Linked DNA regions of Drosophila melanogaster. Each later gene encodes a partner of the first gene's protein in a complex. Each region holds a gene or a part of one and is shown in the gene's direction. Other genes may lie near its edges. The genes, in order: thoc6, thoc7 and thoc5.

Region 1 (5,785 bases):
TTCCGAATCGTGGATATATCATAGGTAGAAAGCCGAATTTTGGATCGATCTGGTGTCTAATTGGGCGCATGTTGAGTGCATTGACCAACATCTTTGGCTGCCGTATCGAAATGGGCACATCAAATCGGCCGTTGACGTCAGCTAACACCATTTGTTTCGTTTTCAAAAAAAAAAAGAAATAATAATTAATGTTTAAAACCCCGCCGCCGAATGAGTTTTTAATATGCAACGGCGTAGAACCAGTAGTCGCCATACCACTTTTCGCCAGGCAGTAAAAGTTCCACTCCCTCCGGCGCGATTCCATTTCCTCCCGAGGGCTAACGATCTTCTCGAGGGACCAAAAGACCCAGAGAGATTTGGACAAACTAGATCCGGTTGGATCTAATTTAATTCGCGAAGGGGAAGCGAGGTATGGCAAACAAAAATAAGCTAGATAGAAAGAAGAAAGAGCCGCTTAGAAGAAATTTATGGCTCTTGGGGATTTCCCAAAATACAACCAAATACTGGGCCACACAAAAACAAACTCCCATGACTACATCATGAGCTGTTGTGTAGCAAACAAAATTTGGCTAAAATTCATCAAAGGCATTTATCATTAGTCGGGGTGAAAAAAGAAAGAAAGATGATCGTTTGATCGCTTGATCGCTTGATCGCTTGATCGCTCGATAGCCGTTACTCAAATTGAAAGAAACTTTTTGGCGCCAGTAAGCCAGACTTGAAAATGTATCTGTTTTCGGTTCCGAGCACATTGGAATTCCCAGAAAAAAAAAACACGTGCGAAATGCCAATCCAAATGGTCCAATAAAAACCTAAGAAAGTCGTCAAAAAAAGCAAATCGTCTTGGAATCTCGTTTCAAATTGGCATGATACGTCAAGTTGTCAAATTAAATTTGCATGCCATTAATATGATGCCAAATGAAGCGCAGCTACAGTCGTTTAAAAATAAAAACTCGATATGATAAGGCATTGATTAAGCCGGAAAACCGCATTTCAAACGCCCAACGAGAAGTTCCACAAAAGTTCTGGGCCTTAATGGGAATTGGGGAATTTTCGATGTTTTTTTTTTTTTTTTTTTTGTTCAAGTATGTGAATTATGCTGCGACAGTTCGAACAGCTCTGTGGCGCCAAAATAATTAATTTCAAATCGACTGTCTCGACATTAATAAGCCATAGGTATTTGCATATAAATTAGAACGATTAGAACGGCCGAGAACAACAGGCTGAAAAATGTGTATCAACAACACACATTAGAATTTGTATTAGGCTAATACATGACTTCTGTATTAATCTTAATATTTAATAGGGGAAGAGTATTTTATTAAATGGGAAACATTTAATTTCAATAGTCTTCATTTTATGTGTAACATCGACTAGATCAATTTTAATGTAGAAAATATTGTATTGTATTTCTTAATCATCAACATGGAATTTTTGATGAAGCCATAGCATCGTAGAATTTATAAGGTAAATAAAAGATCAGGTAAATTATGTTATGTTTGATTGGTAAACAACGGAAACCTGATGTTGATAGCCATTTAATTTCAAGCTGCCTATTATTGTTTTCCAATCATAAGTGGGCAATCAGCATTTGTTTATAGGCAAACATGGGTACGAGCACGCTCTTCAACTTTAAAGATCTCCCCAAAAATTGACGTCATATTGAAGACTTTTCCATCATCATCTGATGATTCACGTTAATCCAATTTATTAAGTCATGAATTGAATGGATGGAGTCAAATATTAAACGTCATGATGGGTTTACAAATCCATATTTTAAGGCGATTAGTCAACTCAACTAGTATTTCACCTGTCTGAAAGGTCTCAGACTTTCTTAAATATCGGCTCTCACTGTGACAATGCAAAAAAAAATATTTAATTAGCTGAATGCCATCGAACTTCATGTCTGATTAAAGCTGAAATTCCGATTTTAGGCCGCTGTCCAGTTTACAATTAATGAGATTAATCGTAAATAAACATTTACGGAGAGCACTCTTACTTCTGACACACACGATAATTTGTGGCAGACACATGGAGAATGAAATTTTTTATGAGGAAATCGAATTGCAATCTCCGGCGAACGATTTTGCTCATGCAATTGCAATTACAATTGGTTTTCAATTGTATTTCCTCAAAATCAAAAGAATGTCGAATGATTGAAAACAGGTTATTTCGTAAATTCAAAATCCACGTTACGTTGGCTAACGGTTAACGTAATTGAACGTAACGTGAATGCTACGTAATATACTAACGCACTTTTAGGTATATTTTTCAAAAATAATATACTGTTCTTGGTATATTGCTCAGGAACGGTCACTCTAGAGAGCCGGCGTAAACAAAGCGATACAATTTGGTTAAATTAATTAAATTAGCTAAAAATATGAAACAAAAGGATCTGAAACGCGCTTACAACAATGTCCTAGCACAGGCTATATCCGGCTCTAAACAGTACCTATTTGCGGGAAATCTCTTTGGCGACATTTTCGTACTTAGGTGAGAATCCTTAATTTGGCGCAATTTCCCAACTAATTGTTTTTCTATTTTGAAGAATAAAAGAACTGGACAAGGGTTCCGAGGAGCCACCTGGCAAACTGAAGATCTTCCCGCAGGGCAGCGATGTGGACATCAATTACCTGGCCTTCCATCGCGATTTCTTGATAGTTGGTGCAGTGGGTCTTATTTACGGATTGGAATGGAACGAGGAGGAGGAATCTCTGGCCACCAAACGGTCCTGGGAGGTAAAGATACCCATGCAAGTGGATGCCGTCGAAGTGCCGGATGTGAACTCCATGTGGCTGGACTCGGAAAATAGCATCCTGTTTGCTGGCTGTGGCGACGGAGTGATCTACCAAGTGAGTTTGGAGGACGGACGAATTCAGCGCGAGTACCGCGGACACACAGACTACGTGCACAGTGTGGTGGGCAATGCCAACGGACAGATCTTCTCTGGCGCCGAGGATGGCACTGTGCGAGTGTGGAGCACCAAGCAGCAGCAGCACACTTCAATGCTGGAGCCTTACAAGAACCCAAATCTGTTACGTCCGGATTGGGGCAAATGGATAGGAGCAGTGGCTGTCAACGAGGATTGGCTGCTCTGCGGTGGTGGACCCAAAGCTTCAATTTTCCACCTGCGTTCCATGGAAAGCACATGTGTCTTTAGCTTCCCCGGACGCGTGCATCTATGTGACTTTGTGGACGATTGTGTCTTAATCGGTGGAGAGCACAATCATGTGCAATCCTACACTCTAAATGGAGTACTGCAAGCCAATATTCCCGTGGAGCACACTGCCTGCTACTCTGCTGTTTGGCAAACATCGCCCATTAAATTCATTTCCATTGCTGGTTTCAGCAACAAGTTGCATATCCTCAAGGATTTTCGCTTCCTCGACAGCAAGATTGAGATGTATGGGAATGTGGAGGGCGAGGAAAACGACCCAGAAGAAGAAGACGAACTTATTGAAAAACCTCTGACAGTTGAGGCGGCATAAAGGTGTAATAAATTTGTTCTTTAATTACATTATTATACTGTTTACATTTTTTAAATGCATTTATTCCTTAGGGAAACCGAGCATATTCCTCGTTTTTACAAGCGTTTCGTGAAATACGCAGCACTTGATATTCCTTGCTGTTCACATTATTTTGGAAATTACATTCTCCAAATGTTAATGTTCCCTTATCGTTGAGTGCGAAATCCTCCAGCATACCTATAAACTTTTTTGAAATAACTTCTTCATCCGGACGAATGCCGGTACGGTATGCAGCTGTATTGAAAATCAAGAAAAAGTCATCTCCGTGGACAGTACCTTTAATAATAAGAAAGCTAGAGCTTTAAGTATTTGAAACGCAAGTATGTACCCACCAAAATGTACATCTGTTCGATTGGAAAGCAATTGACCCACTCCGGAATCGGTAGGATTATCGTAGACAAAAGAATAAACCGGACTTTTGCCATACTTTCGGTGAAGATCTATTGCACTTGGCACGCTATTCTTGAAAAGAACATCAGTAAACATTCGCTGCACGTTCCAATAACTTTCCACACTGAATCGCCGATCTGCTAGATACTGCTGCCTGAGATCAAATGAAAGATCATCCATATCTTTGATGGTTTTCTTGGCGTCCCGATAGAAGAGCAAGTATGGTGCCCAATCAAACCATCGATCATTGAGTAGGTCAATCCAACTCTCGCCAGTTAATTTGTTTCTTTCCAACAGCTGAGCAGCGTTGTATCCCCCGTCCTCAGTGGTGTACGTCACAGCCCAAGGGACTTGGGCAAACTTCCCGCTCTTAATCACTGCTCTTGGGTCCTCGGTTAGAAAGGCGTCTGGTGCATCTGACGGCTCCACAACAGGTCCAAAAGCACTGAAGGGTACATAGGAAAACACAAGGAAGCTTCGGACAGCAGAGACTATATCGCTAGCCGGCTTAGACTTCAAGCAGTCCTTGAGTTCTGCGGAGACATTTGTGTGTCCACAACCGACAATACGACCCAGTTCAAATGCACGTCGTCGTCCACCCTGCTGTATGACCCAAGGATCCAATGCATTGCCGCTCACCGAAATCGCTCCTTTGGCCAAATGTTTGAAATCCTCGTGCAACAGCTGCAAATGAGCCGAAGCACCGCCTGCAGAGTGACCAATGAGCACAATATTATCTGGCATTCCACCAAAGTGAGCAATGTTCTTCTTGATCCATTGTAGGGCCAGACGTTGATCCTTTAGACCATAGTTTCCCGGCAAGTGTCTATCGCCGGTACTTGCAAAACCCAATGGTCCAAGACCAAAACTTATTTTTACCACAAGCAAAGTTCCCTCACGCATAATGGAGTCGTGTCCATATATGGATCCACTACCGAACATGAAAGCACCTCCATGCAGGAGTACTACGACAGGAAAGCTGCTCCGATTGGGTTTCTTTGGCTTATAGATGCTTACCGTTAAGCAATCCTCATCACCCATCAGCTTATTGTTTTCGTTTATAAACTGATTCCACTGCATGCACTCAACTGGAGACTGCGTGGCATTGAAAACATCAGTCCAATGATGACTATACGGCTGAGGTGCTTCAAAACGGAGGGCACCAGTTGGATGCTCGGCATTGGGAATCGATTCGTAGCTGTAGTACAACCCATTATCTTTGCCACGGATTTTTCCATTTGTTATCTCAACAATCAAGGGATCAGCTTCAGATTCTAAAGCTGCTATCCACAGCAAAGTCAGGCACAACAGCCGTTTGAATATACTCATGATCTGGAACTCCACAAAGTACTAATCAAACTGCGGGTAAACAAACGTTTATTATTCTTTATAAAGAAACAACAAAAACCAAAATATAAAGCGACAAACACGTTTTGTACAAATGATATTTAAAGCCAGTTGAGAATAATTAAATAATTAAAAATTACACAGAACGAAAAATTTTTGATTTTATTCATGTAACTTACGGAAATTCCACATGCTGCCTATTCTGGCAGCCATCAATATAAATAGCTAATAATTGGAATTTCTCACTACCTACATTATCTTTGAAATCGCATTCACCATATTTTAGAGAGCCATTATCACTCGAAGCAAAATCTGCCAGCATATTGATAAAATTTCTCGAAATTATCTGCTCATCCGGACGCATTTCCACATCTCGTACGAAATTTTCGAATATCAAAAAGTAGTCGTCACCGTGTACAGTTCCTATAAAAGTAATGATTTAACTAAGTCCATTTAAAAGTACGATTTCCTTACCAAAATCATAATCGGTTCGATTGGCCAGGACCTGTGCGATTCCTTTTTCG
Region 2 (3,903 bases), about 12 Mb from region 1:
GGCTTTATATCCCGGAGACCGTTATGAAACAGAATTGCCTTAAGTTCGTCATCCAAATTACCCACGCGGCCAACCGGCTGGATTAGTTCAGCGATGCAGTGCCCATTGCAATCTGTCTCGAGTATATGGGCAAGGTATAAGAGGCCGGACACGTCTATTTGCTGCTTGTTTCCGATGTGGGCGGCACAGGCATCCTTCGGAACGTAGACCATGGGGACACGCAAATCGTACGGTCGGAATTTGTAGAATAGCTGGTCGTCACAGAGTTTGGTTGGGTTCGTAAACGATATGGTTCCCACGATCTGGCGGAGCTCAGTTCGTTTAGTTATTGCTATGACGAACGCTTTAGGGCAGTTGTCCGACGATATCACGACCACGTTGTCGGTATCGGACTCAGAGCCCTGGGACTCGGTATCGTCCGAAAGCTCCTCACCATCCGCTTTATAGGATATTATCATCAGTCGAAAGTATTATAAGTTTGCCGATAAACTTACCAAGAGATAATGAGGGCTTCCCACCAGAGATTTCACCAGACGAGGGCTCAGCTGTCTTTGAACTACCCTGAGCACCAGGGTTTAGCACGAATGCACGTACTTTGTCACCATCGAAGGCATAGCGCCTAGCCACTGGCAAGAGCACGATGCCATCTCGTTCGAGTGCTTCTCGATCAGTGGACATGATTATAAAGGCCTGTCTGTTGTTCTTGCGGTTAACCCGGATTTCCTCTTCTACAATGCGCCCATAACCCGCCGCAACTAGTCTCTGCGCATGCGCTTCCAGGTCGGAGAAGTTACCTTTGAAAATCAAGTCTTCCGACAACTGGTGATCCATACCCACGTGACGTTGGACAATCTTGTTTATGTACGACCGCATGGCCTCTAGTTCGGTTTTTTGCGATTGGGTCCCATTGCTACCGGATCCATCGTTTTTCTTGCTATTGCGTTGCCTTCGTCCTAGTTTCGGTTGCTGCTGTACATGACTTCCATTGTTTGTAGCAGAGACCTCAGAATCGTGGCGATGCCGCCCCTGGTAACCAACCTGTTGCGGATGTGCTTCTGACCTGGTCTGACTCCACTCGAGCTGAGAAAGGATCTCGTTTTTACGTATCAGCTGGCAGGCATACGCGTTAACATCTGGGGAGAGGTGTGAAAGATGTTTGACCATATCCTGAAGAGCTTCCACCTCATTTCGAAGAGCCCGCTTCGACTTCTTTTTCGCTATTAACCGATGGCTGGGACTAGACACGACGTGCAAATGCGAAAGTGGCTGAAGGCAGGGAATCTGCATGGTCGCCTGGTAGGAGGCGAATGCTACGTGGTAGGGCAATTGCATAGCTACCGGCGCTGGCGTGGATACTGGCACACCGTAAGGAATGGCCTGCCTGCTGTTGCTCCGAGCAGATGGTTGGGATTGGTTGGGATGTGGCCGTGGTTCCGCCCAGCGCATTAGTGGCTGCAGCGGAATAACGGCATTGTTGGCCGATAGGTCTTTGCTGGATGCATTAGACTCCATTTCCCTCTGCATCTGCTGGAGGCGGGCAGCAAGGCGTTGTGAGCGCTGTCGGAGGCCCTCAATCCTTCTGCAATCTCGGTCCGCATCCACGTTGACGCTTGACGTTTCCGACATTCTGCAAGAAGTGCACTTAGTTAATGGGATTCGCTGATGTCCGAAAGTGTACGGCACTACACTTGGCTATGGGCGGGATATAAAGGGTAAGGCATAATTCAATACTTTCTCCAAATTAAAATGATAGGACAAGTACAGTAGGACCGTACTGCGTGGTATGTCGGAGCAGTGTCAGCTTCGGCCACACTCCGATACGCTAGTTCGGAAATTAGTGGAGATGAATGACGGTAAGTTGTTTTTGTTTATTTTCGCATTTGGGAATAGATATTTAAACTGATCTTCCAGAAGAAATCATAAAGCAGCGCCTGCTGATTGACGGGGATGGAACTGGAGAGGATCGGAGAATAGTAGTGTTGCTGAAACAGTTCTTGAAGTGGGCCAGTGACTCGCTGGACAGCAAGTAAGAAATTGGATATGTGTGTATTCAAAACATGGTGTACATATCTCCTCTTTTCCGAATTACAGTCCCATCATGTACGACCGACTGATGGCCCAATTCGCCCAGTGCAAGCTCACTGCGTTAAAGAATGTACAAACTCTGCAGATGATCGCCGGTGAGCGTGACAACTACACACAACTAGTTGAACACCACGAAGAAAGTATTGTTTTGGCTAAAGCGGAAATCGAATCCAGTAAAAAAGAGCTAATCACTGCCAAGCAGATTCGCAAGAACAAGATGGAGTACGACCTGCTGGCCTCGCTCATCCAGGACCAACCGGACCGCAGTGAAACACAGCGACATATTGAGACCATTAGGAGGGAGATTGACGACTTGGTGCAAAAGAAGCTAAAGATGGAGCGCAAGTTTCAGAAACGACGCAATGACTTCACTTTGCTGATGTACACGATTCACGAGCTGGAACAGCAGCTGGACCAGGACAGCTCATCCTCGGCATCCTCCTCGTCCAGCGATTGCGATGCCCGCTCTGAGCCGGACCTAGACGACAATGGGATCATGGAGGTAAGCGATGAAGACGACGATCTCAACAATAGCACTCCCACAAAGTTCGACGGAGCCCGCGGCGAGCCCAAATATCACTCAGTCTCTACTGAGGACTCTAAAGCCATGTCCGTAGAAGAGGACACGGTGCTTGAGCTAAGCATCGACAAAGATGAGCACGACGTGGATGTAGCTGTTGCCAATTAGGTTAGAAGCGCTAGCATGTACAATAAAAACAAAAAAATAAAATGTCATGAACTATAATATACAAATTCAACTGTTGTTTCGAAATTCCTTCGTTTTTATTTCCAATTTAGACTTGCGCCAAAGACGATATTTAAGGGTTATAAAATTTAATTTTAATATATTTTTATTTTACTTGCATATATACTAGAAATAATTCCGAAATCCCAGGAGGTATTTTTAAAACGTATTTACTTTTGTCCGGCGTGCAGTCACACTAAAAAAGCTACGAAGAGGAAGAATACAATAAGAGGAAAATTACAAGTTTCATTAGCCATCTGCAGAATTACCGCACACCTTATGAACGCACAGTGTGCGCGCATCTGCAGTTTACATTGTTAAACAATCAAATAATGGCTGACGACAAAAGGTAGGTTAATTTTACTAAGCCGACCGCACGTGTGTGTATTGACCTGGGCTGCTCCCCTCTTGTACCGAATAGCTACGACTCCAGCAACAACAGCGAGACCGAAGAGCGTCGGGCCAAGCACAAAAAGGCTAAAAAGCACAAAAAACATAAAAAATCCTCGACTGGCAAGACCGAGAAGGACAGGCATGTCCACAAGAAGCAGAAGAAGGCAAAAAAGCGCCCCCACCGAACAAGCGAATCCACAAACGAATCGGACGCCCCGGAAAACGCAAAGTTAAAGCTATCACAAAATTGCGGGCTGAGCAGCAAGTTCACAGAAATCATGCAGAAGGCCAGCCGGAATGGAGCCGATTTCCGTGTCGGCAAACCCCTGCTTCCGACGGATCCGAGCAGCCTTGTTGAAGAAATCACCAAAACTATTCAGAATAAGATGCTGCCTGTCCTGGAGGTGGCCAGTTCAAGCAGCGAAAGCGATGTGTAAGTATTGTGGAATAAAATAGGGGAGCGATTTCGTAATTCATATGGTGTTCGCACTTATCTTTCTTGATTTTAGGCCCGCCGATGCCGCCAGTCCTATTATTTTGTCTATTATTGAAGACGAGCTTAATTTGGAGGAATTGATGCGGCAGAAGGCCCTTCTGCAGGCGCGCCTGGGCGCCTATATGTCGGATCCCGAGGCTGAGGATAAGGGCGATCTCCTCCCACACACACACTCGCAGCAGCT
Region 3 (5,250 bases), on another chromosome or scaffold:
TCGGAAAACGTGAAGGGTGTGGGCGCCTGCCTGAACGCAAAGAGTGTTGAGTACAAGGAGTTGCAGGAGGATAAAAGCAGTGTGAAAATGAATATTGAATAGGAATGAATAAACGGTTGTTGCTATTACATTTGCCCCACTCATAGTTGTTATTATCAAGGCGAGGATATTAAATTTTTGGTTCAACAAATAAACGCCTATTTATTTACTTCGGAAGGTACTTCAACAGTCGAACCTCGTGCGACAGCCACAATGCGAAACTCAGCAGAATAAGCGAGCCCGACTGGTGGGCCGTTGCCAGAGGCACGGGCACGTAGTTAAGCAAGGTGGTTACGCCAAGCGTGGCCTGCGTCCAGGCCATAGCCACCACGGCGTTGATGGCCCAGTTGGCGCGCTTGGGCAACTGCATCCTTCTGGTGACCAGCCACAGAGCGGTGGTCAGCGTTACTGTGCTAATACCAAGGATGCGGTGATTGAACTGCACCGTCGTCGGATTCTCGGTGATGTTCTTCTGTATGGGCGCAAACGTCCACATGTCATCGGGAATCCACTTGTCGCCCATCTTCGGGAACGAGTTGTACACGAGTCCGGCGTCTAGTCCGGCTACAAAGGCTCCAGAAATGGCAGTCAGCAGGACCATTGCCTTCGTCAAATGCGTCAGCCCCTTGATATTAAATGCTTTCTTGGCTTGGATCACGAATGTGTTCGTGGGGATGAGCAGGGACATGGCCTTTGACAGGGAGAGTGAGTACAGGACGAAGGCAGCTGCCAGGTGGGAGGCCAATCTATACTGGGATACCCGTGGCACGTCGTTGGGATCCTGGAACCTGTCTTCCAGCCCGGACTTGACCATGTACCATCCCATCAGACCTTGCAGGCCAATCAGTGTGCCCAGCAGCAGGACGCTCTTCTTGGTCTTCGCACAGAAGTATCCCTTTCTCCAGAAGTAAACAGCGGGCAAAAGGAAGAACCCGCCGATGGCACGACCCCACATCCTGTGCATGTACTCCATCATGAAAATGAACTTGAACTCCTCCACGGTCATATTCACATTCTTTCTGAAAGCAGAAGTTTGCATGTAGTTCCTGGCGTTGGATGAATCTGGGGAGTACTCACAGCTTGTACTCTGGGTATTGCTGGTAGAGATTGAACTCCTGCACCCATTCCTCCTGGGTTCGGGGCATACGTTCACCCGTCAGCTTCCAAGTGACCATGGACAGTCCGGACTCTGTCAGTCGGGTTACTCCGCCTGGAAGAGATTCACTTTCGCAAGGAACTACAAACTTTACATTTTGTTATTGGTTACCTAGACCAACGGCCACGAAGACCATGCCGCTGACTCCCAGGAACCATCTTCCGACGGTCTTGTCGCTTTTCGGAGTGCTGATGGGCTTTATCACTGGGATTTCCTGAAAGGTGCGGCATTAACAAATATTACTTTATAAATAAAAACATATTTTTATATGTAATCAGTGGGATATTAATGCAACCTTTATCGCTGTTTGCGCAATCGTCTGGTGAAGTCGGGGGCCGGGTACTACTAGCTTTATGAGATTGGTTCTCTTCTGGAGCAATCGCAGCATTGTGTTATTTCAAGTTTGGAGAGATTAACTTAAGCTTACAGCAAATATTAAAGGATATATTTTGTTTTTTAACTATATTTACAAAGCCGCTACCAAGTGTGACCGCAGCAGTGGGGTATGCGCATATACTAAAATCATTTTGAAAAGTACCGGCGAATGTTATCGACTCGATAGCCTGGCCACATTATATCAGTTTTGTTAATAAAAACAACTTTTGCGGCTTCTGATTTACAATTTCGCCAAATAAAATGGAAACAATATTGAACACGCAGTTCGATCAGCTGCAAAAGGCCATAGAGGGAATTAAGGAGGCGAAGAGCAAGGTAAGTCCGATTTCCGTGCCAGAGTACAGCTCTAAATCCGTCCACATCCGTCACGAGCAGGGGCAATCGACGGATGAGGCTCGCATTGCCACCACCTTGATGTTCGTGGCTCTGAAGCACGCCAACCGCGAGGTGAAGCACAAGATCAAAGCGGGGCGCGACAAGCTGCACCTGGAAAAGTGCAAGGTGGACCTCAGCCGGCTGCAGCTGCAGAATCTTCTGTACGAAGTGAGCCACCTGAAGAAGGAGATTGTGCGCTGCCAGAAGTTCAAGAGCAGGGACACCAGCTTGGAGCTGCTCTCGGAAGCCGAGTACTCCAGCGAGCTGCCAGACATGCCCAACGACGCGGAGGAGCTGTCCAGCCACAAGCAGCACCTTCATCGCCTCGACTGCGAGCTGCGTCTGCGGAAGGCACTCGACAAGCAGTACAGCGCCCTGCTGAGCTCCAAGCAGGAACTGCTCCAGGACAATCTTAGCCACGCCCAGCGGTACGTCTCCTTCGCACCCGCCTTGCGCACTCTGCAGAGCGCCACAAAGCCGCTGCACGATGCACTCCAGCTATCCCTGGACGTGGAATGGAAGCTAAGCGCAGTGGTCAAGTACCTGCCCAAGCCGCTCTACGTTTTGTTCATTGTCCTGCAATCGCTGCAGCGGGTCAGCGAGGAGCAGTCCTTCACCGCCGAGGTGGTTGGCTATGAGAGCGAGGCTCAAATGCAGGAGTTGCTTAAGGAGAAAAAGTGCTCCACATTGAACTACAGACAGACTAAAAAGGAAAGTGGAGACCGGGAAAAGATTGCCGATAAAAACAACTTGGACGACTCACTCGCTCCTCACCCACTACACATTTGTTTGACGGTAGGATGACATGGTTTGCTCATTCCAAAACATTTATTAACCTAAACTTTAAAGATTGGAGCGGCTGGATCGAATCAGCTCGTTTTGCAGATTCGCTACTTTGATTTTATCAAGTGTGCCACTGTCTGGGGCCAACTTAACTGCTCCAGGAATGCCAACGGCCAGGGGTAAGTTTGGAACACACCTAGGAAAAAATCGCATAAATAACTAGGCATTTTTTCACAGTGACACAAACTTTGTTCACCACCTATTGCGGCATTTGTACCCCAATGACTTGGGCAATGAATTACCCATTCCGGGAATCCAATACGAGGTAAGAACTTCCTTATCCAACGTTGGACAACCAATTAAATTACGCTCTTTCAGCTACGAAGCTCGGATTTAACAGCCGAGGAATGTGTGCGCTACCTCAAGGCCAAGGACTACGGAAAACCCTTCTGTTGGCTGCAAAGTATGTGCTCGATTGCAACCGTCAACAGTTCGATGCTGTACAAACACGAACTGAACTTGAATAAGAACAACAAGGAGATTATTGACCGCATTGCCAGGCGCTTGAACTCTTGGCAGCGTTTAAGCCAGCAGATTCGCGGGCTGACCTTCAAGGATATCGATTTGTATAGCTTGCAGGAGAACATCTATCCAGCCGGCCTGTCGTGCAGTCTCGTCCAATGGACTGCCATCACACATGAGGAGCTTCACTCGCAAATTTCAGACGCACTGAATTCTTCGTCAGCGGACAAGGGTATTACGTACAACTCTTACCGCGCTGTCATCGTCCGGGGATCGGCCAAAATGGAGTGCTTTATTAGAATACCGAGTAACTATCCACTGGAAATGCCTCTATGGATTCTGAATGTGCACTGGAACGGATGCCTTACCGCGCAAAACAATTCGGCGATCAAGGTTTGAACTTATTCAGGTATTATCCTCCAATTAGCTTTTAAACTTGTATTCCTCAGATGATGGAGTTCTGGACCAACTCCCTGCAGCCCAAACATTTGGAGCCCAACGACTGCATCCTGTACGCGCAGCTCTTCCGCACCATCTACAGCTTCGATATATTCCTCGAAACCGAGGGATCCATGCAAAACACCATTGAGTACAACAAGGAGAAGCCTTACATAAGCGCCTTCGCCAAGCGGAGCCGCTCACGCCCCTACAAATACATCAAGAAGGGATCGGTCTACGCGTTCAAGCAGTGACAGTTGAATAACGAATGTTGTACAACACAATGCGCCAATGCGGTTACTAAACGTTCTCACAGTTGCGTTTATTACGATTAGTAATACAATAAATAAGTAACATTTAAAGCTAGCTAGCTACGACTTCATTGGCAGTTGATCTTCTGGGAAGAGGTCGCTGCCAAGGATCCGGGAGGTAGTGCCGTCGCAGAAGGGTTCTCAACCGCCTCCCGACTCTCGTCCGGCATCACTTTGTCCACGACGTGCTTGACGATCAGCCCATCGTCGCCCAGATAGCAGACAGAGTAGCCGTCGTACCAGGCCTCCTGATCCTTCAGCACCTCCTTCAGTTGCCAGAGCTTGTACTTCCAGAACTGGAACATGACCTTCAGGCCGGAAATGCCGCGCACTCGCCACCTTATCCGCACTGTGTAGTCGTCCTGGTGCTTCGTGATCTTGAGCACCTCGAATTTCACGTAGGCGTACTTCAGGTGGCCAACCGTTCGCAGGATGGCGATCTGTTTGACGTAGTGGTACAGGCCCACCGTGTGCTTGCCCGTTATGTTGTTGTGGAAGATTAGGCCCGGGCTGTAAATGGAGTAGTCTAGGGGCTCCACGAACAGCTTTGGTAGCGTGGTCCTCAGAACCTCGTAGGCTCTATCCAGGTCCTCGGGCTTACGCTCGTTCTCCTTAGGGTTCCCGGGCAGCCTCTCCGCTTTGGTGCTCTCGTAGGCCCTTCGACTTTGCTGGAGGTTATTGGCGGCATGGCTGTTTAACAACTTTTGTGGACACTTCGCCGGCGCAGACGCACTTAGCCGCATGGCGGACGCCCACGCCCGCTCCTTGGAGCACCAGTTGGCCATCCAGCTGCTCCTTCTTATTGATGAAATCCCGAAATTTCGCAACATCTTGCAAGGACTTTGTGTGCTACTTCCTTCACCGGAACTGGGTTTCCTCGATTCAGATCTGCCTCGTCTGCAGATCACACCATTCAAATTGAACTTAGATCCTGGCTATTTTTCGTTTGCGGCCCTCAGGAATTTGACGTGCTCGTGTTTAGGTAACAACATTTGGAAATAAAATACTCGGCAAAAATCATATGGTCGTTGGGCTGCAGTGTGGCCAGACTGTGTGTAATGTCCCAATAGCTGCGAGTGCCAGTGTGGATGTTAGGGGAACTCCCGTTGTCCAGGGTTGTCATGCCGGATTAGTTTCACAAATTAACTTCCGCAACCGGAAGTCATGAAAATGGAAAATATAACTTATTTGGTTTGAATTTAGTGTTTCAAGCTTATTACATGAAATATG

What was found.
Region 2: thoc6 (region 1) and thoc7 share a complex: the UniProt entries of both Drosophila melanogaster proteins name them as parts of the THO complex.
Region 3: thoc6 (region 1) and thoc5 share a complex: the UniProt entries of both Drosophila melanogaster proteins name them as parts of the THO complex.

What each region holds. Positions count from the first base shown.
Region 1 is NT_037436.4:12,190,196-12,195,980, reverse strand, and holds thoc6 (thoc6), read left to right. Parts: upstream 1-2,292; 5' UTR 2,293-2,377; coding exon 2,378-2,490; intron 2,491-2,545; coding exon 2,546-3,485; 3' UTR 3,486-3,487; exon of another isoform or gene 3,488-3,552; coding exon of another isoform or gene 3,553-3,800; 3' UTR 3,801-3,856; coding exon of another isoform or gene 3,857-5,243; 3' UTR 5,244-5,285; downstream 5,286-5,785. Other genes in the region: Est-P (esterase P), read right to left, coding at 3,553-3,800, 3,857-5,243; Est-6 (esterase 6), read right to left, coding at 5,437-5,684, 5,736-5,785. UniProt on the Drosophila melanogaster protein: The THO complex is required for cell proliferation and for proper export of heat-shock mRNAs under heat stress.
Region 2 is NT_037436.4:210,568-214,470, reverse strand, and holds thoc7 (thoc7), read left to right. Parts: upstream 1-1,783; coding exon 1,784-1,853; intron 1,854-1,911; coding exon 1,912-2,026; intron 2,027-2,091; coding exon 2,092-2,773; 3' UTR 2,774-2,835; downstream 2,836-3,903. Other genes in the region: Dis3l2 (Dis3 like 3'-5' exoribonuclease 2), read right to left, coding at 1-439, 495-1,627, 1,687-1,721; Prp4k (Pre-mRNA processing factor 4 kinase), read left to right, coding at 3,163-3,179, 3,252-3,656, 3,733-3,903. UniProt on the Drosophila melanogaster protein: The THO complex is required for cell proliferation and for proper export of heat-shock mRNAs under heat stress.
Region 3 is NT_033778.4:23,952,333-23,957,582, forward strand, and holds thoc5 (thoc5), read left to right. Parts: upstream 1-1,758; 5' UTR 1,759-1,831; coding exon 1,832-1,906; intron 1,907-1,966; coding exon 1,967-2,761; intron 2,762-2,815; coding exon 2,816-2,928; intron 2,929-2,986; coding exon 2,987-3,074; intron 3,075-3,127; coding exon 3,128-3,664; intron 3,665-3,720; coding exon 3,721-3,963; 3' UTR 3,964-4,074; downstream 4,075-5,250. Other genes in the region: Stoml2 (stomatin like 2), read left to right, coding at 1-102; CG3803 (uncharacterized protein), read right to left, coding at 206-1,058, 1,117-1,249, 1,307-1,409, 1,491-1,583; CG16787 (uncharacterized protein), read right to left, coding at 4,089-4,850. UniProt on the Drosophila melanogaster protein: The THO complex is required for cell proliferation and for proper export of heat-shock mRNAs under heat stress.